7 linked regions of the Mus musculus genome follow. The protein of the gene in region 3 interacts with the protein of the main gene of each other region in a pairwise test. Links are inferred from orthologs where the notes say so. Each region holds a gene or a part of one and is shown on either strand. Other genes may lie near its edges. The genes, in order: Txn2, Fam110a, Mtus2, Ctsz, Fchsd2, Cdk18 and Cdkl3.

Region 1 (2,222 bases), on a different chromosome or scaffold from region 3:
CTGAAAACAGGCATCATCAAGTGACAGTGTCCCCTTACCCCTGGGAGAGCGACGGGCTGGGCTTTCTTGGTTGGGCAGCTTGGCACTCTATAGACAAGGGAGCTGGAGAGGGAACAGGATGGGTGGAGGGTCCGGTCCCAAAGACTAGACCTTCCTGTGGGCATACATGGGAAGAAGTGCCACCCAGCCAGGAGGGGCCAGAAACCAGTCCAGGCAGAAGGTCCCAAAAGGCTGAGGGAATCCAGGTCTCTGAGACAACCCCTTTGGCTAGAGCCCAGCTGCACTCCTTAAGCCCTTGTCTGCATTTTGGGAAACAGCACAACCACCTCTGGACCTTAGAGAGGATGTCTATGATGGCACACCCAGACCAAGAGCCATGAAGAGTGGGAACACAAATCATGAGAGGGGTGAAGAACCCAAGAGGAGCTGGGGACAGTGGTGGGCCCGGGAATACCCGTCCATCCCAAGTGCTCAGTGCCCACAGAACAGCAGCCAGTGGCAGTGCAAACCTGGTTTTATTGGTCTGACTTGTTCACAGCTCCTCCTCCTGCTCAGGGACCCAGAACCAAGGCCCAGCTAACTCAGGGAGGGGACAAGGAATAGAAGGGACAGATTTAGGCTATGGGGTGGGCTCTGTTCTTCACAGCAAGAGGTAGAAGGACCACATAAAGTTCTTTATTAGAGACCTACAAAAAAATGAGAGAATTATACATTACTCTCACTTGTTCGGCTTCTGGTTTCCTTTTCAAGCAGAGGCAGGAGAGGAAATGTGCCAGAGGCTGATGCATGGGGGCTGGGGCTTCAGAGGGCCACAGAGATGGGGACTGGGCGACCACTAGTGCGGTCAGGCTACAGGCTGGCCCAGGCTTTCTCCAGCATCTAGGGGAATGGCAACAAGCCCCGGAAGAAGCACACAGTAGGTGCACAAGAGGAGCACACAGTAGGGGGTGCACAAGAATGACCCCCACACCAGTGGCAGCACTGGCCCTCTCCAGGCCACCCGGGCTGAGGGCTGGCTCTGAAGTGCTGGTGGCTCTTAGGTTTGGAGGGTCTGCTGTCACAGGCAAGACCCACCAGGATAAAACAGAGGGGCAGGGCAGGAAGGATGACAGCTGAGGGCTGGGAGTTCTACTAGGCTTCTCCCCAAAACAGACTTCCAGCAGGCAAGGGTAGTCAGGCCTCCTCTCTGCTCGTCAGCCAATCAGCTTCTTCAGGAAGGCTTCTAGCTGGTCCTCGTCCTTGATCCCCACAAACTTGTCCACCACGTCCCCGTTCTTGATGGCTAGCACGGTAGGCACAGCTGACACCTGGGTGAGGGAATCACAGGGTCAATCACTTGGAGTTGACTGTCTCTTGTGTATCTTCCCTAAGCCTCTGTGGAGAAGGCCAAGGTCACAGGAAGGGCCAAAGGAAGTGGGGTCTTTGCTTGGAGGAGACCCATCCATTAGAGCTTCTTCTACTGCAAGTTCCCAGCATCCTCCTCTTCCCTGGACCATAGGACCGACTCGCTGGTCCAGTGGTGTGTGTGTGTGTGTGTGTGTGTGTGTGTGTGTGTGTGTGTGTGTGTGTGCTGTGGGCCAGGCTGCTTCCCGAGCGCCTCACGGCCTCTTTCTGGGTCCTGGCCATGCATGGTTTACCTTGAATGCTTGAGACAGAGCTCAGGGGTCGGGGATGCCAGCTCCAGGACTGGGCGGCCCAACCTCACTCCTACCCCGGGGGAACCTGGTAAGCCCTTTAGTACCTCAAGTCTCGGCTTGTGGAGACACCGACAATGTTTTCAGTTGAATACAGGAATGCCAAGAGACACATGCTAGGATGGCACAGGGCGCAGGGCACACTGTGGGTATGGTGGAGCTTGACCTGCCCAGGACCACCTTGGTGGGCTACAGCTAACGGTTATGCACAGAGTGGATGGGGACAGTCCTATGTGATCAGAGGCTTTAATTCGGGCTGGCAGAGGGAAAGGGGCGCTCTTGCTCCGTGAGGTACTGCTTCCACAGCTCTGGAGACTCAGACAGATTACACGAAATGTATGTGAGGATTTCACGTATATTGAAATCCTGGGGCTGGAGAGATGGCTCAGTGGTTAAGAGCACTGTCTGCTCTTCCAGAGGTCCTGAGTTCAATTCCCAGCAACCACATAGTGCCTCACAACCATCTGTAATGGGATTCGATGCCCTCTTCTGGTGTGTCTGAAGACAGCTACAGGGTACTCATATAAA
Region 2 (3,500 bases), on a different chromosome or scaffold from region 3:
CAGAAGTTAAAAAAGCGCTCAAGATCGGCTGCTGCCCTGGAAAAGCGCTCACTCAAGTCCGACTTGGACCGCTGCAGGCCAGGGGGCCGGCCGGGGCTGGAAGTGGTAGTGGTGCCAGGTGATGGATAGGGCCGAGCAGGTGAAGCAGGCAAGGGACGAACGTCCACTCGGCGCACCGCGACAGTACTGGGTGGCGGACGAGGAGGGGTGGCTGGTGGGACCTTGTGGGCAGATCCTTCTGGCCTTCCAGGTGTTCGGCTGGCCTCAGATGGGGACACAGGACTATCACACAAGTTGATGAGGCTGCTAAGGATGTCGAGGTCCAGTTGGGGCCGGCGGCCAGAACAGGGCAGGACTCGGCGACTGGGTGTGAGCACTGGGCCGCGAGGACCAGGGCTGAAGAGGGGCTGTCTGACCAGCGGGGGCTGCACCGGCTCTTGGCGGGTGTTGGCCACACGCAGGCTCTTGACGTACTTAGCCTTATCAGCCTCCAGGCGTTCCACAGCACTCGGTTTCCTGGCTCCCCCGTCTGCTGGCCTTGGTAGCAGGTAGCCGGGAACCTTGGTTCTCAGGCGAAAAGGTAGGGCGGGAGTGGCGGGGGCTCCGGGGCTCAGCGTATCCACAGGCATGGCCGTTACATACCCCGAGGGCAGTGGCGAGAAGACAGATACAGGCACAAAGTTGGCAGCAGGATACCGGGCTCCGCTGCAAGCAAGGAAAGAAGACTGGCTGAGCACGTTCAGACAAAGGCTCACTGGCGGCGAAGCCTGCGCTATTATAAGGTAAAGGGCACGCCCCTGCCTCGCAAAGAGCCAATCACCAGGCAAAATGTACTACTGGAAGGCTTGTGGCCACACCCACTCCATTTCCCTCCAGTAGTGGGCGGGGACCCGCACAGCTGAGGGAGAGGAAAGAGGTAGAGAAGTCAGGTCCACTTTAAAGAGAACAAAACAGGCTCAAGACCCAGGGTCCTCTCAACAGCCCCATTTAGGGATTAGGAAACTGAAGCTCAAGGAAGCAATGGTCTTGCTTAAACCATTCCCTTCTTCCGAGAGAGGGGGTACTAGCGACTGGACAGTTGGGGTTGAGAAACCATCATCCACATCCCACCTGAACTGTACAGACAGCCAGATACCACCAACACCCCGCAACTAGCCCAGGCAGGAAGCTGCGCAGTGCCAACCACCTGCCTGGGCATGATGGACCCACAAGGGGCACAAAAGCAAGAGGCTGCAAGGGAGGAGGGAGCAGAAAGTCCCCACCCCCACCCTAGTAGAGTCCAGATTAGCACTTCCAGGACATGGCTCTAAGGCCAAGCCCTGTAGAGATCCAGGCATAAACATCAGCCCCGAGCTCTGCTGTTGCAAGAAACTATCCAGAGCATGTCCCACCCAGTGCTGTGCTGCTGACCACCTGCCATGACAGTTGCCCCATGGGCTGCAGGACCCTTGTAGGTGCTCAAGGGTCCCTGTGGGTAGCCAAGAGTCAGGTGTTAGACCATTCCAGCAAGTCAGGCCAGCCATCTCTGTTTCCAAGGAAACAAGGTCAGAAAGTGCCAGTTTCCCCACCACTCAGACCCCTCAAATATGCACAATGTAAAGCCCACATGCCAAACCTCCTGGTCTGCAAATGGGGGGAGGGGAGAAGGTCCCCCAGGGCACCAGCAGTTGAGCGAGGTCACTCGGCATCTAGCATCTAGTCACTAGCTCCTGAATCACACCAGCCATGCTTCCAGTTCTCCACGGCTGCATGGCAGGTAGCTGCTATACCAGACTGCGTGCCCAAACACAGTAATAGCCTGGCCGGAACAACCAGACATCTCAAGACAAGGATCCCCACTGTGTGCCAGACACTCAGAGCTACTCTCCTGTACCTCCTCCAAGAGCCTGGAAGCCACTGTTACCATTTTATGGCTGGGAAAACTGAGACTCTGGGAGTGACTTCCTTCCTTAGGTCCCAACGGAGATTAAAAAGGCAGATTCCCATGAAGCCTAGCCTGAGCACACTAATTCCTGTCACACCACTTCTCCACGTACCACACACACACACACACACACACAATCTCTCTTTTCTCACAATCTCTCTTTTCTCGTTATATCCATTAGTACCATATAACTTACTGTGGATAAGGCTCTTTCTTTCTTTGCTGTCCCCAATCCCCTATAATGTCAGCTCCACGAGGGCACAGGTTTCGGCTGCTTTGTTCACTGAGTCTCAGCTTCATGATGTGGCTCTCAATACATGCTAGATATTCCACAAGTGTGTCCTAAACTAAAATGCCCGTGGGGGTCAGCTGAGAACCAGTACCCCAGCGCACGAGAGAGGCCCTGCCCACCACAGGCAGGTGGGTCCAGGGTGAGGAGTGGAGTGTCACCAGGACTGGCAAACCCAGGACAAGCTTTCTCTAGGTTTTTAACTGTGAGCAAATGCCATCAGCATTTTTAAAAGACAACTAGTACTCACTTGGCAAGCATCCTACGTCTACGGATATACCTGTTCCTTCATCTGCTCCCCCCAGCCCCCACAGAAACCGCAGCACAGTTTTGGGGAGGAGGGGAGCGTCTCCCAAGGCTGTTGGGCAGAAAAGGAAGGCTAGCCCCATACAAACAGACCCCCAACTGACCTTGGGCGGTTAAGGTCTAGCCAGCAGAACTGCTACAGAGCTCTGTCTAGGTAGCCAGACTCTGCCCTACCTCCCTAACCCCCACAATCTGCTCTGCCACCCAAACCAGTCTAACCCGTTAGTAGTGGCTGAGGCAGTCACTACTCCCCGACATCACCTAGGAAAGAGGAAGGAGGTCAGAGGGGCAGGGCTAGGGCAGAAACTCCCCCCTACTACCACCTTGCTTTTATACCCACCACCTAACCCTACATAGAAATGGGGGCGGGGACAGATGAGTGTTCCCAAGCCTGGTAGACAGACACCAGGTAGACATCAGGGTCCCTGTTCTCCCACCAGCCTTGCACCTTGCACAAGAGGCAGCTCTTAACAGGCCGTTCCCCTATCTAAACACAGTTAAAAATAGGCCTCCCTGTCCCTTCGGGTCACCGCTGGAAAGATCAAACGGGTTCGCAGCACCTGGAAAATGGGCAGCGCTCCGGAAACCAGACGCACTGTCATAGACTGAGGCTCTGACTGTGGAGTGAGTAGACCCCGCCCCCGCCAAGGGTCTCTAAGCCCGATCCAGAAGGGCAGACCTAAGCCTCAGCTAGGACAAAGGCGACAGCTGGTAAGAGCTGATCACAATGAGCCAGCGGATCCGCACCAACGCACGTCACAGGGGCCCCTTCAAGAGGAAGCTAGGATCCCGGTCGCCTAGTGTGATTTAACGTCTCTTTTGAGGTCTCTTTTCACCACGGGCTTCCAAATGCTACCGCAAATGCACCAACCTTGAGCCTTTCTGGTCTATTCCAGTGCCGTAGCCCGATTTCGTCCCTCCCTTCAGGCTCCCAAGGAGTAAGTAGATCAGGAGGACTCCGGGAAAGCCCCTAGTTTTGTT
Region 3 (4,021 bases):
AGTCCCTGGAGGAGTGGGAGTGGCCCGAGGAAGGAGCTGTAGCGCCAGGACCTCATTCCTTGCACCTGGGAGGCATGGGCTTCACAGAGCACCCAAATAGGAAAGTGAATGGCACAAAGGAGGCTTTACTATCTTTCTAGGTTTAAGTCAGGCTGGGGTTTGTGAGTTAGGGGAAGGGAGGGGCGAAGGCTTAAATGAAATGAGCTTAAAGTTTGATTTAGATTGGACTGGACTTTGTAATAACAGCCAGTCAGACCGCTTGTTAACACCCGAAGGTGACAGGAAAAGCGATAAAACGTGCCCTAGATTCCTCCAGAAGAAATGGGAGGCCACATAGAATAATGTAAAAAGACAGCCGTGTGAAAAGTGCTCTTTCATGATTTCCCTTCACAATATAGACCAGTTAGTACAAAAATTCAGCTGGTATAAAATGTTGCTCGGCACAGCAATGCTGGGGTGGGGGAGGGAGCCCATTTTCCCCACACTCCCGACCCCCAAGAGAAAGCGAGCAAGCACATCAGTAAGCCAGCATCTCATTGTCTTCTCTGTCAGTCTGTCCCAAATCTTGTGAGCCAGAGGCTGGAGAAGCCCCCCGGCTGTCTTCAGGCTTCCCAGGTGCGCTGCTTTCAGGCGACCTGGAAGGGCTACTGAGAAGTCCTGCGTTCATGTTTACTTCTGAGGAACGTTGTGAACTACGAAGCAGACAAGCTTGCGTTGAGACAAGAGTCTTTCAAGTGGGTAGCCGGCTATGCATTACCCCTAGATTTGGAGGCAGAGGCAAGAGGATATCTGTGAGTCTCAAGTGAGATCCTGCCTCAAACACCCCAACTCCCCCACCCCCACCCCCGCCAAACCCGCACACAATCACACACAAAACCCTTACAGAGACTTCTTTAGTCTCCTGTCCATCAGCCCCGCTACATCCCTTGCGAGTTCACCCGCTGGACCCCAATTCTTCCTGCTGCACGCAATTAAAAGAGGCTCTCTCTTCCGATTGGACCACAGCACATCCCACTCGTGGGAGTCAGGAGTCTAGGTCAGCGACCTCAGGCTGCTTCTCCTTTCTCTGGGGTCTGAGGCTGGATGCTCCGGACCACTGTGGTCCCGTGAGCTGCCGGGTCGTGTCGGGCCAGCAGAGGGCGCTCGGCTCCCCCCACGGGGCTCCGGACGAGAGGAGGCGCCGGGGCTCGCGAGCATCTCCGGGCGGCCGGGAGGGGGTGCGCGCCTCGGGCCGCTGCAGCCCGGCTTCTGTCACCGCGGACGGCACCTCACTGGAGGGTGGGCGGGAGCGGCGTCTTTGTCCGGCGAGGCGTCCTCAGCCCGGGCCATCCCTGTGATCAGAGCCCGGCGGCTTGGGCGGTGCCCAGTGGTGAAGTGCGCGGGCGGAGGGCTGGCTGCGGCCACGGCCCCAGGTACCCCGGTGCCCTAAGCTCGCCACCTGCGCCACCTCAGCCCGCGCTCTGTCAAGTTGCAGAAGACCCGGGTGGGTCAGGAGTCTGGACGCGTGGGCGCGTTGCAAACTCCAGCTGCGAAGGAGCTGCGTGCGGAGGTAGCCCGGCCCGGGATGCTCCCGGAGGCTGCTCTGGTCTCTCTGCACATCCTTCTTGGCTCCTCCAGACCCAGGTGAGCGACTGCTGTCCGCGCGTCCCGATCCGGCTGGAGACAGGTGCAGAGCGGGGCGGAGGCGGTGCCTTTTGCTGGCTTCTCTGGCATCAGAGAGCCCGCTCCCCGCTGCCCACATCTTCTGCTCCGCCGGAGAGAGGCTGCAACCCACTCGCACCTTCCGGGGATGTCAGGTTGAGCACGGTGTTTCAGAGGCGACAGCGGGTTAGCCTAAGCGAGCTCCCACCCCTCTCCACCCCCAGCTCGGGATAATTCGGTCCGTGTCTTCGTCTTAATTTAGCACCGATGTGTTATTTCCTTGGAGCCCTAGAATGGTAAGGCTTGCTCCATCCATTTTTCAACCCCCTTCATTCTGAGTCTGTGCAGGGAAAGGCTTGCAAGTGATGTTACTACCGTTCTATTTTAAATACAAACACCCAGAGAAGTACGCTTGGCGGCGTGCCAGAGGCGCCTGCACTCTTTTGTTATGTAAGTGCTTCACAGGAATATTTGCTGGTTGGTAAAGTTAGGAGCGGTTACCAGAGAACGTAAGAGCGCAGGAAGTCAGAGCCATAATTTCTGTCTTAGCTCAAAACTTTCCTTCAGGATAAGCATGAGATGGTTTTGGTATCATTTAAAGGCGACAGGAGGTCCTTTCAAAAGAAAAATTCATACCGTAGACTCTCAAGCGTTAAGACACAAAACAGGCTTTTTTTTTTTTTTTAAGTCTGTTATGAAAACCAGTGGGACGTCTCTGACAATAAATAGGTGGGAAGTGACTTAAAGAAATAGATCCCTGTCACATAGCCGTTTTGGCTTTTAAGTTGTTAGGTAGTTGTATTTTGCTGTCACGTGGACATAGCTAATCGTGTGTTGACAGTTATTAAAGATCTCTGCTCACACGTACCGTAATTTTTCAGGTACAAAGATGAGAGTGGAAAACATCAGATACGCATCTTGTTCTTACTGGTTTCTGGTGATGGCATTTGTTATGTGTGTGGCTCATGTGGAGTCAGGGTTGTGACTGTTGGTGGGCATCGTTTCGTGCTTCGTTTAGTCTCCAGCAGCATAAGGTGGGGCTCGGTGGGTTCGAGGTACCCCAGCCAGGCGTGTGACATATAGGGAGAGAAACTTGTGTTTGACTGGAGAGAAGCTAAAGATTTTAGCCCGGGTCTTTTTCATCTAAGTGATTTTCCTGCTTGTTTTCCTTGCAAAGAAAAGCTGTGTGTACCGGGGGTCCTTAGTACCACAGAGGGTACCCATGGGAGTCTTAGTTGGGGTATAGTGCATTGTGCAGAGGAAACCCTGAAAGTTCAGTAGTTTTGGGGAGAGGGAGTGCCTTCTTTTTGTTTGCATGATTTTTTTTTTAAAAAATTGTTTCACCAAGGATTATTTTTCTCACTGAATGGATGTTTTCATATACTATATAGGAGTGCAATCAGTCAATCAGGTGCACAAAAGCCTTTTTGGTAATTTTAAGGACAGAGGGAAAGCTGGCATCTTTTATAAGTCCACATTTCCACAGCTTGGGGCGGGCTTACAGAGGCTTTATGGGAGCTTATGTAAGAGCCACGACGGTGCTTTTGGTACTCGGTTAAACTCCCTGCTTTGGCTATTACATAATTGACATGGAACTAGGCTGTCAGAGCTGAAATCGTGAGGGAGAATGTATAAAAACCTAGGCTCATGTGGGATGCACACAACACACACACACACACACACACAGACACACACACACACAGACACACACACACACAGACACACACACACACAGACACACACACACACAGACACACACAAACACACACACACACACAGACACACACACACAGACACACACACACACACACACAGACACACACACACACACACAGACACACACAAACACACACACACACACAGACACACACACACACAGACACACACACACAGACACACACACACACACACAAACACACACACACACAGACACACACACACAGACACACACACAGACACACACACACAGACACACAGACACACAGACACACACACACACACACACACACACACAGACACACACACACACACACAAACACACACACACACACAGACACACACACACAGACACACACACAGACACACACACACAGACACACAGACACACACACACACACACACACACACACACACACACACACACACGGCTTTATAATGAATAGCTGCTGCCAAATTAGAGGGAGCAGCAGGGATGGTCGTTTGTGAACGGGAGATAAGAACTGTGTCAGGAGGATGGCTGGAATAGAAAACTGTTAGGTTTAACAATTTTCTAGAGACCTGAATGCTGGCTGAAACTACTGCAGCCCTTTCCATGCTGGCTATACAAAGAGGCTGGGAATCTTGGCCTTCTGGTCCCTCACCTGGACTTACTTTGGGAGGC
Region 4 (4,272 bases), on a different chromosome or scaffold from region 3:
CGGGGGATGGGGCTGGCTCCAGCTAACCCAACAGGAGCAACAGGGCAGTGAGAGACGGGTGGGACCAAGGGTCTCTTGGTCACCTATCAGAAGTGACTGGTCAAGGAGAGGCCGCTTGGATGCTTAACCGCATCAACCATTGGCAAACGCTTCATTAAAGAACCCACACGCCCCTTAACCCAGAGACGGGGAAAGGTATACTAGTCTCCTGCTCTGTCCCTGGCAAATGGCCAGGGCCCCACGGAAGTCCTCTCTGATGTCTACTCATCGAAAGAGGAAGCAAGGCTCTGACTGCTACTGACGAAGATGTCGGGGACTTAAGAAGAACGGAGCCGGGCGTGGTGGCGCACGCCTTTAATCCCAGCACTCGGGAGGCAGAGGCAGGCGGATTTCTGAGTTCAAGGCCAGCCTGGTCTACAAAGTGAGTTCCAGGACAGCCAGGGCTACACAGAGAAACCCTGTCTCGAAAAACCAAAAAAAAAAAAAAAAAAAAATGAAGAAGAAGAAGAAGAAGAAAAGAACGAAGCAGCCATTTTCCCCAAGGACACTGCCTTGTAGCAACTGGGAAGATACAACCTCGGTAGGGCCTAGTGCCCACCCAAGAGGGGTAGGCCCAACAGCCTCTGGCCATCTCTCCTGATCCTGCAATGTTCTACACCCTCCTCGTTTAACTCGATCCAGAGACCCAAGGATCTTTCCCACTCCATGTCACACTCACCCCACACTATGCTCTGCTGAGAGGGGCCTTTCGCTTCCCCAACAGCAGTCTGGCCACACCATTCCTAAGCGCCCCGGACTTTGCTCTACTCCTCTGCTATGGCTGCCCACTCCTTACCCCCTGCCTGCTTGGTAAGTACCTCTTGTCAGCCCACCTTCTTTCTTTCTTCCTCTTTCTGAAAAGTCAGCAGTATGCCCCAGCCCTCAGAGGTGGCTCTATGAGGGGCCACAGCTACATCTGCCCCTGGCTACTGCTGGGGTACAGACTGCCCTCAGACAGGAACCCCTCATCCTCAAAAGAGAGTCCAGGCTGATGGGCTGAACTGAAGCTGCCATCCATCTCACAACGCAGTCTCCCGACCTGAAAGAGGCTTCCTAGGCTGGGCACTGAGAGCCAACTGGCAGGCAAGACCTACATAAGCCCTACGGGCAAGAGCACTGCCATTTCAGTAATGAAATTTCATTTTCTTAATCCTCAACCTAGGCTCCACCTACAACAGACTTGGCCAAAAAGATACCCAATCAAGAGAGGACACTGGCTGAGTCCCACTCCCAGGCAGGAGACTCCCTTCCCCATTGGTTTCCAGGAACCACCTCTGGGGATGGCAAAGCTGAATCTCCATGCTACAGGTAGATTGGCACTCCCTGGCTCCTGCTTCCTCTACCAAGGAAGGGCACAGCAGCCCTCTGGGGCCTCTCTCTTCCTACTGAATGAACTTCTACTTGACTCTTGGGCGGCCAGGCTAAGGTTCGAAGAAGAGAGCTGGGGGGGCCATTTCGTACTGGGGAACATGTTCACCTCAAATGCCAGCTGCTACTGAGAAGCAGTTTCACTTCCACGCCCCACAAACCAACTGTGAACTCAGTGATTTTGCAACACCGGTCCCATGGTTCTCAATGGCTGAAGTCACAAGTTCTGAGGAAGGGAAGGTTCCTGGGAGCCACTTGTCACCAGATTCCAGCCCAAGCCTGTCCCACAGAGGCCCTAGTAGGCCCACAGGAGAGAACTCCAGAATGACACAGCCACCTCACTCTGGCTGAGGGGAAATCCAAGTCTGAATCATGGTACAGGGCCATGGGCCCCTGTAGCCCCGGGCTATGGCTATCATGGCTCACCTAAAGGTAGATTGGATGGTGAAGTGCAGCCACCCACCTGGCCAAGATACTGGCCCTGCCCTAGGCTTAGCATGGAGCGCCAGGCCACCTACCTGCCATGGCACTGGTGCTGCCGTGGGCCCAGCAGGAACCACAGTACTGTGGGATGTGCTGGTTCCTGGTGACGCTGGCATAGTTGACACCGTTCACATTTCTCCAGTCCCAATTCTTGGGGAGATCCGCTGGGGACAGGTACTCATGCGGCCGAGGATAAGTCCTGGGAGGACATCATGGCAATGGAAACCAACTCTGGAACGCATAGGGCCTCCCCTCTCCCTACCCCCACCAGGGCCACAAATCCAGTCATTTCTCCTGTTGGCCTTCTTCCCAAACTGTGGTCGGTTCAGAACTTGACCCAGAAGAGCCACCAGCAGAACCCAGGACTATTGGAAGCTGAATGTGACAGAGCATCTCCGAAATACGCTAATGCTCACTAACAAAGGCAGTAGAGGCGAGAACTGCCCAAACCAGCAAACCCCAGAGCTCCCCGGATGTGAAAATCATCCCAAAAGGAAGGGATGGGATTTGTGCTTCCCAGGCCTAATGAGGGAGGATGGGGCAAGGTCCCAAGTGTCAGGGGGTGCGCGCCTGGCCTAGAAGTTGACCCTTTTCCTCCCTAGGCACAGCCCCGCGCCCACCTGCGCCCCAGCAGAGCCAGCTGGTCCCCGCGAATGGGATGGTAGCAAGTCTGGCCCGAGCGGAAGTAGAGTCTGGCCCGTGCCGCACTCGCCAACAGCAACATCAGCAGCACCAGGGGCAGCTGCTGCACCGACCCCGACGACGCCATGCTCCTGCTCCGGGCCAATTCGGATCCTGGATCACGCGCAGCACCTTCGACCTCTTGACCCGACCCGCAGGCCCACGCGCTCGGGACGCCCCGCCCGGTCCTTTAGGAGGCGCCCAAGTTGGACACACCCCGAGGGCGGGGCCTTCCCCGCTGCTCCTGCCCCCGCCCCGCCCCGCTCGGCAGCCCCCAGGAGATAATCTGCCTCACTAGGAATCAAACAACCGGATCAGCAGAACCTGGGGTCACACAACCAGACCCCAGACCTGACAGTGCCACCAGCCATTGTGATAACACGGACTGACAGCAAAACTTAAGTTTACTATTCAGAGACCCAGGCATCCTGGAGCAGGGTAGGGCTCAGCAGGCTTCCATTGGCCCACTCAGCCCAGATTCTTTTGTTTCTCTGCTCTGGAGTGTGGTGCAGTGTCCCATTAGGTTAGGTCTCCCTAGGAGCGCACAGAGATATCCTGAGGCTGGAAGAAGGTGTGGGTCATACCCAGCATTGGACTCTAGCCTGGCTTTCTGAGCCCCTCCTCTCCACCCCCCAAGACCCAGGCTTTTCCTGAAGAGACAGCTCTCCTTCACAGAGAAGGATCCTTCCAGGATTACTCTTTTCTTTTTTCTTTTTTTTCTTTTTTTTCACTTGGCACATATATCGTGAGTCCCTGGGGTTCTGGAAAGGGTCCCTGCTAACCAGACTCTTCCAAGATGAGGAACTGAGAAAGAAGTGGGACCTGGCCAGCCTAGGTTTCGTAATGGGAGAATTTCCCCTTCCCCCTGTGCCCCGTGAGCTATTGTCAGCAGTCCCAGGCCACAAAGCTATCTCTTCTTCTGTAAGAAACATCCCCTGGTGTTTTATCTCAGGCTCTCTCCAGGTGGTGGGTGTGAGATTCCTGATGCGCGATGGCCAGTGGGGCTACAGCCATTCCTCTGTCTGTGGATAGGGGCAGTCAGAAATCATAATGGCTGTCTTGCTGCCTGCCTTTCCAGATCACCCAGGATTCCAACAAGACTCAAAAGCCTGCTGGATACCTCCTGTCAGAGAGCAGAACAAGACCTCAGAAGCAAACTTGGGGCTACCCTTAACAACGCAAGAGTTTTGTTCCCTGTTGCTATAAAGTAGTCACGGAGGCAAATGAACACTGGCATCTGTATGTTGAAATCTTTCATCCTGGGGGGTCATGGCAACCTCTCCCTTCTGCTGGGTGGTAAGTAGCCTGGTAGGAATGAGGGCCTCCCAAGGCCCAGGCAGAGACCTGAGTTCCCTAAGCCAGTTCTCCCCAGTAGTGACCATGCATTGACCTTAGAGCCCTTCGGTCCACTCTGGGGGAGTGTCGCCTCCCACGTGGGTTCCACATGGGCTCTCTCTCGCAGGAAGGGGACAATTGGTCTTGGCGATTCTATGGCATCCCACAGGCAAGGTCTAGTGAAGAGCACAATAGGGCAGCAGCGTTTATCGGGAGAGTGTGTACTCAGTGTGCTCACGGTCCCAAGTTCAATCCCTGGCACAGATAACGAGCAAATGAATGAGTGGAGTTTTAAAATTAACAAAATATACACTTTAAATAATGTGTCGTCTATGTGTGCCTATATGTTATATGTGTGCATGAGTC
Region 5 (4,072 bases), on a different chromosome or scaffold from region 3:
CAGAGCACTGGGATTACTGGGATTCCAGATACATGCCACCATGTCCATCTTACTACCCTGTTATAACATTCATTCTCACAATGTTAGTGCAAGACCTTAGCTATTAAATTCAGAGTTTCCCGTTATGAATATAGGTAGCTTTAGTTAAAACATGACATATCATTCTCACTGAATTGCACATTCAAACACAAAGTAATACTTGCCAAATAGTGCTAGTATAGCTTCATCTGGGGTGACTGGCTCATCCCAGATATTAACCACTAACCACAAGTGTCAGCTTTAAAATGTTAGAATTGTTAAAGCCAATAAATAACTTGCAACTCAGTGAAAAGATGTAAGAATTTCCAGTTGAGTGATTACAAACTAACTGATAGACTCTTTTTTGAGACAGGGTTTCTCTGTGTATCCCTGGCTGTCCTGGAACTCACTTTGTAGACCAGGCTGGCCTGGAACTCAGAAATCTGCCTGCCTCTGCCTCCCGAGTGCTGGAATTAAAGGCATAAGCCACCATGCCCAGCTCTAACAGATAAGACTCTTAAGGCCCTCATTTTTCTACAGTGTGTGTACGTCGAATTTAAACTGTGTTAGTTCCTGTTCTAACTTCCAGCTGAGTCGAAATTCTACAGCCTGAAAGCAGGAAATCCAAAAGGAAATTCCATCATCAGATCCTAGGGCTTGGCCACTCAAGGGTTCTGGGCAGCAGATACAGAAGTTCTCCAGCTCCTACTATAATCTTACCTCATGTCTTCAAGTAAGTCACATTCTGCCTGATGTTTGGCTTGAAGTTTTGTCATCTGCTCACCTTGAATGTTTCTCAGCTCTTGTGTAACTTTCACCTAAAACACAGTATGTATTTATGAAGGCTTTTACTACAATTTGAAGGAAAAAAATTACTTAAAGAAGACACTATTTGTTAGAATGTATACTTCTAGTTTTCCTATCCCCAAAGACCAAAAAGTTCGTATTTCCCATCCAATTTTATTACTTAACTAAGTTTAATGAAAAAAACTAGCCAGGGAATGTAAGACAGGGGCTGAATAAAAATTCACAAATACAAAAAAAAAATTTGCAGTTTAAAGGGGTGCAAACTGTCATTCTGCTTTCTCTTGCTTCCCAAAGATTCAGACATTAACCACAGGAGCAGGGAGCACAGATGAGTGTACCTAATACCTAGCGACCAAAATGTACACAATCATGAAATAATATTCACGAATAAACTACATAAAATATTCCGTAATGGCTGCAAGAAAGCACACAGTCTCAGAATGATGCCCTCCACTCTGACAGCACATCAAATCATAATCTCTTTCTCACAAAGGAGAATGCAAAAGTGACCTTCCAGCATATGCAGGGCTTTTAAACTAACCCAGCAAGCCAGGCCGGGTGGCAGCCCACTTCAAACAGAGAGAACCGCCAAAGCCAGCTGGCTGGAGCCATCCTCGCCAGGCCGGACCCTGGGATTTCAATTGGTGTGTGATCGTGGTGGAATCCCGACCACCAGAGCAAAGCTACATGGAGAGGTGGGGTACACGTGCAGGGGGAAAGGGGGAGGATCAGTAACTGGGCAAAAAAATCAGATTAAGAAGAGAAAAGAAAGGGAAGCATAGATGATGAGTTACTCATAAGGCAAATGTTTGCCCACAAGGGAAGGATGTAACTGTCTCTACCCACTGCTCAGAGTAGATACCTAGTATCCATCTGAAAGATTTAAAAAGGCAAGGACACAGCCTTGGCAGTGCGGAAAGGTGTAGAAGGGAGCAGCCGAGTTGCTGGCAGCCCCAGAGCACCGTCACTGCCACCCAGGCCATCCAAACCCCAACCGTAGTGCTCAAACCATGCAACGCCAGGTTCTGGATTTCGTACTGGAAGCTCTGCTGTTTTCCTGGCCCCCTAGCCCGAGGCGGGGCAAAAGGGATGGGGGGTGGGGGTTAAGCAGGACCCGTCAATCCTTAATTTGCTTTCCCTTGGGGTGGGAGGGCGGAGACCGTTCCAACTTCTTTTCCGCAGCCCCGTGGGGGGAAAAAAAGGCCAAATCTTGAGGCGAGACTTGAAACAAATCCCCCCGCGAATTTGCCAATGGGTGGAGTGTCGACAAGCGACTGGAGGGCTCGAACCTGGCGCAGACTAAACAATCCGTCACGCACAAGGCTCTGCAAATCTGCAGGGGCTCCCCCGCCTCTCCCCCATACAGCTCTGAGAATGCACTTTGCTCTGGGCAGCACTGCCATGCAGACAGACACACACATGCATGCCCGAAAGAAAAAAAAAAAAAAAAAAAACTCCAGCGAGTGTCTCGGGGGGAGGGAGGTGTCCTCCCTAGTACTGAGGAGCACTGGCCGCCCCTCCGTCAGAAAGACACCCCGTACACGCGACCCCCTGCTTGGGGCGGGCGGCAACTCTGACAAGCCAAGAAGCTAGAGTGGTCACGGTCCCTTGCGGGAAGGGGGAGGGGGCGCAGCGGTCGCCCCAGCCGCGTTCTTTGTACGCACCGCCACCCCCCAAATCTCCAAAGCCCCCCGCCAGCTGCGCCCTTACCTTCCTCGGCGGCGGCTGCATGATGCTGAAGGGACATCAATCCTCCGCCCACCCCTGACGGCGGCGTTTAAAGGACTGTGAGGGTGAGGAGGGTTGGAGAAAATGGGGCGGCCCAGCAAGCCAGGGCGCGCGCTTGTGTGTGTGTGAAAGGAGAGCCTGGGAAGGAGAAGGAAGAGGAATCGGCCCGGAGGCTGCGAGGCAGGCGAGCGGCAGGAGCAGCCGGGTCGCAGCGAGTGTGGAGAGAAGGAGGAGCGCCGGGAAGGCCTGGGGCCCGGGCGGCCCGGGGGGTGTGTGAGGGAAGGAGGCGGAGACGGCCAGGGGGCGGGGGCCGCCGGGGGGGGGGGGCTCGCGGCTCGCCGGGCGGCTGAGGAGGAGCGGCCGCGTCGTCCGCGCTCGCCGCCTGCCGCGGCCCGGCTGCAGCTGGCTGACGCGGCGGCCCCCCACCCACTCGGGCAGCCCGGCCCTCGCGGTGCCCAACGCCCCCGCCCGGCCCGGGAAGGAGGAAGGCGGCGCCACGCTCCCCTGTTAGAGCTCCGCCAACCACTCAGGCCGCGGGAATTTCCGGCCCCTGGCGCGCGCCACAGCGCCCCGCTCCGGCTGCAGAGGGGATGCGCTCCCGGCCACACCGCCTGCTTCAGAGTGGAGGGGGGGAGGTTAGCCAGGCCGCGCCACGGGGCTCCGGATCTCGGTGTGAGAAAGGGGGAAACTTCACGGATTGTTCGGCCGAGGGGAACGGTGGGGACGGGAACGGGACTCGAGAACTACCCCAGTTCTCTCCGACGATGGAACGTTCCGGACGCTTCCCGTCCTCCCTCCCCCCACACCGAGCAGGCAGCTGGGGGCTTCCCGCGCGCCTTCCCGCCAGCCCGCTGGGGCGCGCGACTCCTCCGGGAGCGCGCACGTGGGAGGGAGAGGACTCTGCTCCGACGCACGCGCACAGGCCGCCCCCGCCTCCCGCCTGCATCTGCGGCTGCACAGTTTGTGTGGGAATTTGGCAGGAGTCGAGGGGGGCTAGGCTCATAGTGGGATTGTTTGCAATAAGGAAGGAGGTACCTAAGAGGATTCGGGATTTTGCTTTCTCTCAGTCCCTCAGCGTACCCTCCCTCCTAGTCAGCTAAACGTGCACTGAGAAATTTAGCATGAACAAGTCCTTTTACAACTAGCCGCAGGTGCCAGACCTATGCCATTGGAGGACAGGTGAAATAACCTAAAATTGCCAGGCAAAGGAATGGATGCCCTATTCCAGAGTACTTAGCCAGACCTCGTGGAGTCAACTGAGGAAAAGAATGAAAATCTCTTGAATCGGTCACTCCCATATCACAGATAGGAAGGCTGGTGTCCGCAGAGAATTGGAGCCATTCTCAAGGTCACATGGCATGCCTAGAATCCCAAGGGCTGAGTGTGAGGAGGGGTATCTTGCTTGGTGTTAGGGCGCATGCCTAGCAGCCAGAGAGGCCCTGAGTTCATCACTAGCATGGCAGAGGAAAGGATTAGGTGAGATTAAGAACCATAGGGAGACAGCAAGGGCCATGGAGGA
Region 6 (4,272 bases), on a different chromosome or scaffold from region 3:
ATAGGAGCCAGTGCTAACCTTGGTGTGTTCCTACCCTCTGAGATGGGAAAGTGCCAGCTCAGCAGTGAATGCCTAGAGAGCGAAGGTGAAGGGTCCAGGGAAGAGGAGAGAAAGGGTTACTGGGGGACACACAGCCCAGGGAAAGAAATGTGACTTATTCCCAAAGGAGTGGAGCTAAGCAGGTAGACCTGGAACTCAGCCAGTCAGTCCCTTGTGGACAGCAGAGCAGAACAAGGACTGCAAATAATTAAGTCCCAGGAAAGGGTCCTCTTACCCCAGGCGCAGGGTCCTGCCAAAGTCCTGCAGCCTACCTGACCCACCAGTACCCAGAAGGCTTAGTACCTGGCACAGACTGCTGGCCTTTCCTGACATGTTTCCATTCAGCCCACCCACCCACCCATTTCTTATAGAGAACTCTCCTCTCCAACCAAAAGGGGGGAAACTTCTAGCCAAGGCCTTGGCTTGCCGGGGTTTCATGGTCTTCCGCCCCAGAGTCAGCCACGGGGTATGACTAGGACATCGCCTTTCCCAGGCCTCACCACCACATGATCACCTCGGCTTCCATGTGTTATACAATAACAGCCCTCCCTACCAGGAGCCCCTCTCCAAACAGAACACTGAGCAAGTTCGAGAGTTTGCTGGGAGCCACAAAATCAATAGGAGGATTCTAGAAATGGCTTAGATTTGACCATCCTTTCTCATCTTCAGGTCCCAAACTCAGAGAAGGAAAGATGGAATCAGGAGAGGAGGAGGAAGAAGACGAGGAGGAGGAGGAGGAGGAGGAGGAGGAGGAAGAGGAGGAGGAGGAGGAGGGAGAGGAGGAAGAGAAGGGAGAGGAGGAGAAAGAGGAAGAGGAAGAGGAGGAGGGGCAGAAGAGAAGGCTAGAGTGAGGTAGGAGTCAGAAGACCCAAGCCAGGCTTTTTCCCTATGAAGAGCGGCCTCTTCCCCTGGGAGCAGGATCAATTAACTGACAGAGAACACAGGGTTTGGAGAGAAACACAATCCCATTCCCTCTGGATCTCAGGGCAGCTATCCCCTCCCCGAACAATCCCAGACTAGGAATCCACTTGTTTCTCAGATTATTGTCCCTCTGGTAAAGCCTGGGTCTGCCTGGGGAGCCTGATTACTTAGAGAACTACCCCTGTCCTCCCTGGGAATTCCAGCCCAGGAAGAGCAGGAGTTGGGACCGGGCTTGGGGTCAGATAGATGTAGACCGGATTGAACCCGTTACATCACTCTCACCCACCCCTCCCCCAGTCTGTTCCTTGGCTAGTGCATTAGTGATCATAACACTCATGAACTATCATAACATTATTATGACACCTTGCTTGGCACATTGCAGAGATTGGAGACAGGAGCTGGGGCAGAGGGAGCCTCCGATGCAGCCCAAGTCCACAGGCATAGCTGCCTGTTGGCCACACCCCAGAAGCTATCCCAGGCCCAAGGCATGACAAAGACATGCGTTCTTGAGACACAAGGATTTGGATCCCCACCTACCCCGCCTCACTGTGGGCTATGTGCCTCCATTGAATCTCACATCTGATAGGGTGGGGGCTTTGCGACCCACGGGGCCCAGGCCACACAACACAGCTGGGTAGGCTGGGGAAGATTGCTCAAGGCCGAGCTGGGATGACAAAGAGGGGCAGATGGCAGCAGCCAGAACTCAGAAGGTTCTGAGGACTGCCCCTATCCCACAATTCTACCCCTGCTCCTGGGAAAGCTTAAGAGAAATATATGAGGCCGCTGGAGCCTAGAGGGGTGCTGACCCCTCAGTACAGGGAAAACAACCCCAAGGCCATCAGGGGCCTGTCCCCCAACCGCGTGGAACAGAGCCTCTGACCCACCCCATTTTCAGAGTCCTGTTTGTGACCTCCAAACAGAGCAGTCAAGCCATGCGTTTGAAGAGCGAGCCACCCACCCTCCTTTCCCACACGCTATCAACCGCTGTCCACAGGAGGGGAGGATCATTGCTTCTCTGGACTTAGCCCAAGAGAAGAGACACGTTCCCTAGCGACTCTCCTCACCACGCAGCCAGCGCTCGGGGCTTCACCTGTCCTCAGTTTTCCCCAGGTCTCTGGCCTACCACCCATGGCCTGTGGGGCTGGAAAGTTCACGAAAGCCCAGAAAGCTCTTCGAGGTGGCAATCTGGCCCTACACTCTCCTGAATCCCTTCGTTATCGGGACTCCTGACCCTTGTCCTTCCCATAAGGAAAGCACTTAGCGTCTGGCTTGTGCCTGGGAGGGGAACTTTTGCGTTTGTAGGGTTCCGACGGAGGTCAGGGCCAAAGGGAGTCCGGGATCCAGAGTCCCCGCGGGGCACGCGTTCTGCCTCAGCACCTGGAACTTGGGAGTGGCTTTCCCAGGGCATCCTTCACCCCACACACACACCAAAAAAATAAATAAATAATAAAAAAATAAAACGCAAGCGCGCCTGCCGAGCGCCCATCGCCTATGGCAGCTGGGGAATTCTGCCCAAATCTCCAGCGCAAAGGCAGTCGGCCCCTTTAAGGACCGCCCGGCTTACCTTTGCTCAGCTTGCCCGGCGCGGTGCCCCTCTCTGGCCGCCGCGGCGGACTCTGCGCGTGTCCCGGTCGTGGCGAGCCGGCTCCCGCCCTCCGCGGCCGCGCTGCCAGGCTTAGGTGCCCTGCCCCGCGCCCCGCCGGGGTCCCTACTCGGGACCCTGGCTCTTCCTGGCCCTGGAAAGGTGAGCGGTTTTCCCCCCAAAGAAGCTGTAACCTGAGCTGCGGGAGAAGGGAGAAGGGAGGGGTGCAGGAAGGTGGGTAAGAGGAGGAGGAAGGCAAAAGCCGGGCCCCAGCCAGAGTTTTTCACGTGTACAAGTTGACTCCGCCTTTGTCCGGACCGGCCCTGCCCACAGTCACTGCCAATCCCTTGCTCTCCCTCTGTCCCAGGGCCACCCCTTTCTCCCACTCTGGGAACTAAGGCCTGTGCTTCTTCCTGTTCCCCTCATAAGCTGGCCCTAAACTAAGTACAGGGTGAGGCCCTTTAGCCTGGACCACACCGGACAGGTCTCTGTCTCTACCCAACCTGCTGAGTGCCAATTTCGGGGGGTGGGGGGAGGGTAGTGGGGGCAGCGCCTAGCACCTAAGAGCTAATGTGCGATCTCAGGGCACAGGGCCTCGCCTATTCTCCTCTCTTTTATGGAGTGTGAAATTGTCACTTACCTGATAATATCTCCCTGATCCCTTCCCCCATCTCTGCCTCTCCATGGCCTGGAGGAAGAGTTCCTTCCCACATAGCATCCCTCTTCCACTATGAAGAGGAACAACTCTGTCCTTTTTGGCCAAGTGAATCAACTAAGAAGCTTTGCAGATAGGCAATGCTAAGTCAGGTCTCGGTTTACACAAGGGGAAACTAAGTCTCAGAAAGGAGACTGAAGAAGCCCAAAGTCCTACAAGGCTTAGAACCCAGGTCAAACATCATTCTCCCACACTGTCTAACGTCAGGGGTCAAAAACCACCACCAGGGGCGCTGGAGAGATGGTTAAGCAGTCCTGAGCAGTTACTGCTCTTGCAGAGGACCCCGGTTCCGTTTCCAGCACCCGCATGACTGCTCACAACTGTCTATAGCTCCAGTTCTAGGGAATCTGACACCTTCTGATCCATGGTGCCAAGAACATATGTGTTAGATACACACAGCTGTGGGCGAAATTCGCGCGTGCACACAAGCTAAATATAAATAAACCTTTTGTTTGTTTAAAGCACGCCACAAAAACGCTGGGGTGGGCTGAGGGTCAGCCTTCTTATGCTGGGGCCTTTTTATCCTTGCTTCCGGTGCTCTGCCGGGACTACATCAAAGAGGTCCTTGCCCTCTGTTCTTTTAGCAGATATGGCACATAGCTTCTGCAATCTGGGTGCCCTTGAGAAGGCTGCTTTGAGGAGAATGTGGTGTTGGAAAGAGGACAGTTTTCTTCTAAAAGACAGAGTCCTGAGGTCACAGCCACATGAGAGTGACTTATGGGTGGCTGACATCCCACAAGGGCCTACCAGCTCTTTGCTACCTTCCCTACCAGGGCATGGAGATTTTTCTGGGAATGAGTGTTTTATGCAGCTGTGGCTGCTACAAGCTGAAGGGCTGCAAAGAGTGCCTACAGCCAAGCCTCTGGATTTGGGACAGAGGATACCTGTCCTGTTCCATGAGTAACTAGGAAAACCTAGGCTTAGGCGTGGTGGGGAGGGCCTGCACTCAGGAGGAAGAGGCAGGAGGATCACTATAAGTTCAAGATCAGCCTGGTTTCCCCAATGAATTCTAGGC
Region 7 (3,500 bases), on a different chromosome or scaffold from region 3:
ATAAGCTCTAAGCAACACTGACAGCTCCTGGTTGCTTCTAATAACTACAATTGGTTTCTGTTACTCTTTTCAAGGCTACCTTTTCAGGAATACCACATCACATAAGCATCTGAGAGAACTGCTTTGATTCATTTTCCCCCTGCACGCATATGTGGTTCGGGTTTCTGGGCTTCTCATGGAATAGCAGGATAAACAGTGGCACATCGAAGCTTTCTGCAAACCCAAGACCCCTATCTCACCCAATGAGCCAACAGATTTGCAAATGGTATGCTATGCAGATTTCCCAGACATGAGTATATCTCTTAAATGCACAAGCTTAAAGAATCTTTTGACTTAAAATGAACTAAAAGGCTTTCCTTAATGGCCTTCCTGGTCAATAACAGCTCTGGTTCTGCAAAGTAGATTGCGACACACACAAGTAGTCTTGGGACTGCCAAAACAAGACTATAGCTCTAAATGTCACAATGGAAATGCCTTATAGGTTTTCAGATAAATCTATACATACACACACACATACATACATACATATGTGTGTGCGTGCGTGCGTGTGTGCGTGCGTGCTTTTGTTTTCTCTGAGACCAAGTCTCATAGCCCAGGATGGTCTCAACATCACTGAAGATGACCTTTCACTTTTAACTCTTCTGCCTCTGCCTCTGCCTCCCAAGTGCTGGGATTAGAGATCTGTACACCTGGTTTACTGGAGCTAGGGCCTGTGTATGCTGAATCGGCACATTACCAACTGAGTTACACAACCTTCCACTGTTCCTTATTTTTAATTTACTCAATTTTCTTTAATAAAGCAGGAATAACTTTATCATGAATTAAAATATTCATTCGTAGTAGGAAATAATAAAATGTATAAGTTATGCACACAGATGACCTCATTAGGAAATCCGAGGCCACATGCATGCTGGGACTCAGTGAGTGTTGGTTTAGTCTCCTTCCCTTAAGAGAATGCATTCAAATGAATGTTGATGACAGCAAGATTTCTGAATAAAATCCAGGAACTGATGTGGTGAGTGGGGTTGGAACTGGCAGCAGACATTTTTGAAAACAGGCCAACAGTTAGGGAACAGTGACAGACAGTAATCTGGAAGAACACAGAAGGGAAAAGCCAGAGGCAAACACAGTGAGTGGTGCTATGCCCAGGGCAGTCAGCTACTACTTGTCCCATGGCATGGGTCACCTGAGCAACACTGGAAGGTGAACACACCACAGCTGCTCTCTGTCCTGGATGCTGTGTGTTCTAATCACTGAAAATTCAAAGGAGGGATGGTGTTTACTACTACACAAACTAACGTTTAGGATCTTTCAATACTTGGTTATAAGAACACAAATAACTGGATATAGTGTTATACGCCTTTAATCCCATCACTGGGGAGGCAGAAGCAGGCATATCTCTGTGAGTTCCAGACCAGTCAGAGGTACATAGTGAGACTCTGTATCAAAAGCCAAAAATATACATAAATAAAAATAAGATAAAACAGACCTGTTTCTAAAGTTTAAAGATTATAAAAGTTTTAATTTTTAAAAAATTTCTGCTAGTAACTAAATTTAAACACTCATTAAAAGACAAAACAACATTCTATAAAGATTATAAAGTGTTTACCTCTTGTTTTTCTTGATTTGGGTCCATACTAAGTAAAGTTGGTATTTTAGATGAATCTGTTTTCTTTGATTCTCTCTTCAGCACTTTTATCTGTTTAACTTTTGGGGGAAAAAAAAAACATGTAATTTGTTGGCCCTTCCTTGAAACTATATTTTCCTCTCCAGGTCTTCAGGTAGGTATCCCAGTAGCCCCTAAGCCCACTTTTGAACTCAAGCCTCCAAGGGACTGAGTAACTGTGAGTTGTAAGATACAGTATGATTTTATTTTGTGATCTCACAAGAGCTTGTCTCTATTTTCACTGAGGGACCCTCAAGTTGCACATTCTACATTTTACACCTTGCTATTGTATCACATTTTTATAAGGTGTCTGTTTTCCAAGGAAAGGAAAAAACTTTTGCTCACAACAATAAATTTTATTTTTAAGTATTTGCTTAATTTTATTTCAGTATCTTTATTATTTATTTGTTTACTGGTATGGGGCCAGTCCTCTCCTTCTACAATGTAAATCCCATGATCAAACTCAGGCCATCAAGGCATCAAGTGCCTTTACCTGCTAAGCCATCTCACTAGCCCTTAAGATATAATAAAGTTATGATAAATTCTACATTTAGAAAAAAAATCTATGAAATCCCTGCATGCCCAAATCATCTATAACACTTCCGGGAACTGAGCAGAAAAGCGCTTTCCCCACATTATGTATGGAACGTTATGTAAGTTTGTCTTCCTCAAATTCTGCTCCAACATCTCAACATTAAGCTAACAGAACATTTACCATTTCTGGTTGTCTTTACCTTTCTTTACAATTATCATTATTAAGTCTGACCCTTGTTGGGCACAGTAGACCTTTAGTCCCAGCACTCACTCTGAAGGAGGAAGCAGGCAGATATCTGAGAGTTCAGGCCAGCCTGGTTTATATAGTGAGCTCCAGGACAGCCGGAAACACACAGACCCTGCCTAAACAAAACAAAACAAAACAAGTCTGACTCTTTATTTCGCCTACTTTTTCAAAGCAACTGGTTACTTCTACAAAGATCTCCCGGTAAGTGTCCTCACAAACAGCCCCACCCCTTAGCGAGCATCTACATACCTTCCATCCCTTTCATCTCCTTCGCCTGCACTGTGAATGGCAGTTCAGGGAAATGGAATTCTTTCCTGTCGCATTTGGGAAAATTCAGCTTTCTTTTGTTCCCACTCGATATTTGGTCATTCTGACCTGTTCGCTCATTAAATGCACCTTTCTCTGTTTGGACCTAGACAAACAAGTACCAGTTAGTAAGAAGAACTGTGGGTGACACACAAATCAGCAGACCAGAGCAATACTAACACTGAAGCAGCCAGACTCCCAGGGACATTTTCCAAGTGAGGTTTTTAGTCCATTTACTGTTCTTGATTTAGAAAACCACAATCTTGACTTTGTTGTTGTTGTTGTTAAAGATAGGGTTTCTCTACGTAACCACCCTGATTGTTCCTAGAACTCACTTCTGTGGGCCAAGCTGACCTCAACCTAACAGAGAGAGGTCTTCCTGCCTCTGCCTCCTGCATGCTGGGATTAAATGTGTGCAGCACCCCTACCCGGATGTTTCAACTTTATGCTATTATAAATAATGCTGTGCCTTGAATGTTATAAACTGATTGTACTATGTAAAGAAATGATGGGCGAAAAAGAGAAAGATATGGCTAGTACTTCCAGAGTAAGGAAACTCCATCTATTAACTACCTAGAAACTCTATCTAAATCCAGGAAAATATTTTTGAAAGAGAAAAGCACGTCTTGTGATTTGTAAAGATGGAAGCCATACCTTAGTAAACAATTTAAGATAAAGAATAAGATGGTACAGATACAGCTCAGTGGTTAAGAGCAGTTATTGCTCTTGCAAAGGACCAGGGTTCAA

What was found.
Region 1: the proteins of Mtus2 (region 3) and Txn2 interact in binary tests that used the Homo sapiens proteins (3 or more experiments, as listed by UniProt). The two-hybrid records come from large-scale screens. The link is inferred for Mus musculus from reciprocal best matches to the Homo sapiens genes MTUS2 and TXN2.
Region 2: the proteins of Mtus2 (region 3) and Fam110a interact in binary tests that used the Homo sapiens proteins (3 or more experiments, as listed by UniProt). The link is inferred for Mus musculus from reciprocal best matches to the Homo sapiens genes MTUS2 and FAM110A.
Region 4: the proteins of Mtus2 (region 3) and Ctsz interact in binary tests that used the Homo sapiens proteins (3 or more experiments, as listed by UniProt). The two-hybrid records come from large-scale screens. The link is inferred for Mus musculus from reciprocal best matches to the Homo sapiens genes MTUS2 and CTSZ.
Region 5: the proteins of Mtus2 (region 3) and Fchsd2 interact in binary tests that used the Homo sapiens proteins (3 or more experiments, as listed by UniProt). The two-hybrid records come from large-scale screens. The link is inferred for Mus musculus from reciprocal best matches to the Homo sapiens genes MTUS2 and FCHSD2.
Region 6: the proteins of Mtus2 (region 3) and Cdk18 interact in binary tests that used the Homo sapiens proteins (3 or more experiments, as listed by UniProt). The two-hybrid records come from large-scale screens. The link is inferred for Mus musculus from reciprocal best matches to the Homo sapiens genes MTUS2 and CDK18.
Region 7: the proteins of Mtus2 (region 3) and Cdkl3 interact in binary tests that used the Homo sapiens proteins (3 or more experiments, as listed by UniProt). The two-hybrid records come from large-scale screens. The link is inferred for Mus musculus from reciprocal best matches to the Homo sapiens genes MTUS2 and CDKL3.

The regions. Positions count from the first base shown.
Region 1 is NC_000081.6:77,914,551-77,916,772, forward strand, and holds the end of Txn2 (thioredoxin, mitochondrial precursor), read right to left. Parts: intron 1,308-2,222; coding exon 1,194-1,307; 3' UTR 501-1,193; downstream 1-500.
Region 2 is NC_000068.7:151,970,220-151,973,719, forward strand, and holds part of Fam110a (protein FAM110A), read right to left. Parts: exon of another isoform or gene 3,391-3,500; intron 3,184-3,390; exon of another isoform or gene 3,080-3,183; intron 2,753-3,079; exon of another isoform or gene 2,624-2,752; intron 2,272-2,623; exon of another isoform or gene 2,225-2,271; coding exon of another isoform or gene 2,121-2,224; intron 706-2,120; coding exon of another isoform or gene 630-705; coding exon 1-629.
Region 3 is NC_000071.6:147,956,099-147,960,119, forward strand, and holds the start of Mtus2 (microtubule-associated tumor suppressor candidate 2 homolog), read left to right. Parts: upstream 1-1,221; 5' UTR 1,222-1,623; exon of another isoform or gene 1,624-1,937; intron 1,938-4,021. UniProt on the Homo sapiens protein: Binds microtubules. Together with MAPRE1 may target the microtubule depolymerase KIF2C to the plus-end of microtubules. May regulate the dynamics of microtubules at their growing distal tip.
Region 4 is NC_000068.7:174,436,240-174,440,511, forward strand, and holds the start of Ctsz (cathepsin Z preproprotein), read right to left. Parts: upstream 2,801-4,272; 5' UTR 2,660-2,800; coding exon 2,511-2,659; intron 2,090-2,510; coding exon 1,926-2,089; intron 1-1,925. UniProt on the Homo sapiens protein: Exhibits carboxy-monopeptidase as well as carboxy-dipeptidase activity. Capable of producing kinin potentiating peptides.
Region 5 is NC_000073.6:101,107,503-101,111,574, reverse strand, and holds the start of Fchsd2 (F-BAR and double SH3 domains protein 2), read right to left. Parts: upstream 2,801-4,072; 5' UTR 2,557-2,800; coding exon 2,536-2,556; intron 837-2,535; coding exon 739-836; intron 1-738. UniProt on the Homo sapiens protein: Adapter protein that plays a role in endocytosis via clathrin-coated pits. Contributes to the internalization of cell surface receptors, such as integrin ITGB1 and transferrin receptor.
Region 6 is NC_000067.6:132,136,886-132,141,157, forward strand, and holds the start of Cdk18 (cyclin-dependent kinase 18), read right to left. Parts: upstream 2,801-4,272; 5' UTR 2,525-2,800; intron 1-2,524. UniProt on the Homo sapiens protein: May play a role in signal transduction cascades in terminally differentiated cells.
Region 7 is NC_000077.6:52,031,721-52,035,220, reverse strand, and holds part of Cdkl3 (cyclin-dependent kinase-like 3), read right to left. Parts: intron 2,860-3,500; coding exon 2,697-2,859; intron 1,708-2,696; coding exon 1,610-1,707; intron 1,440-1,609; coding exon of another isoform or gene 1,419-1,439; exon of another isoform or gene 1,350-1,418; intron 1-1,349.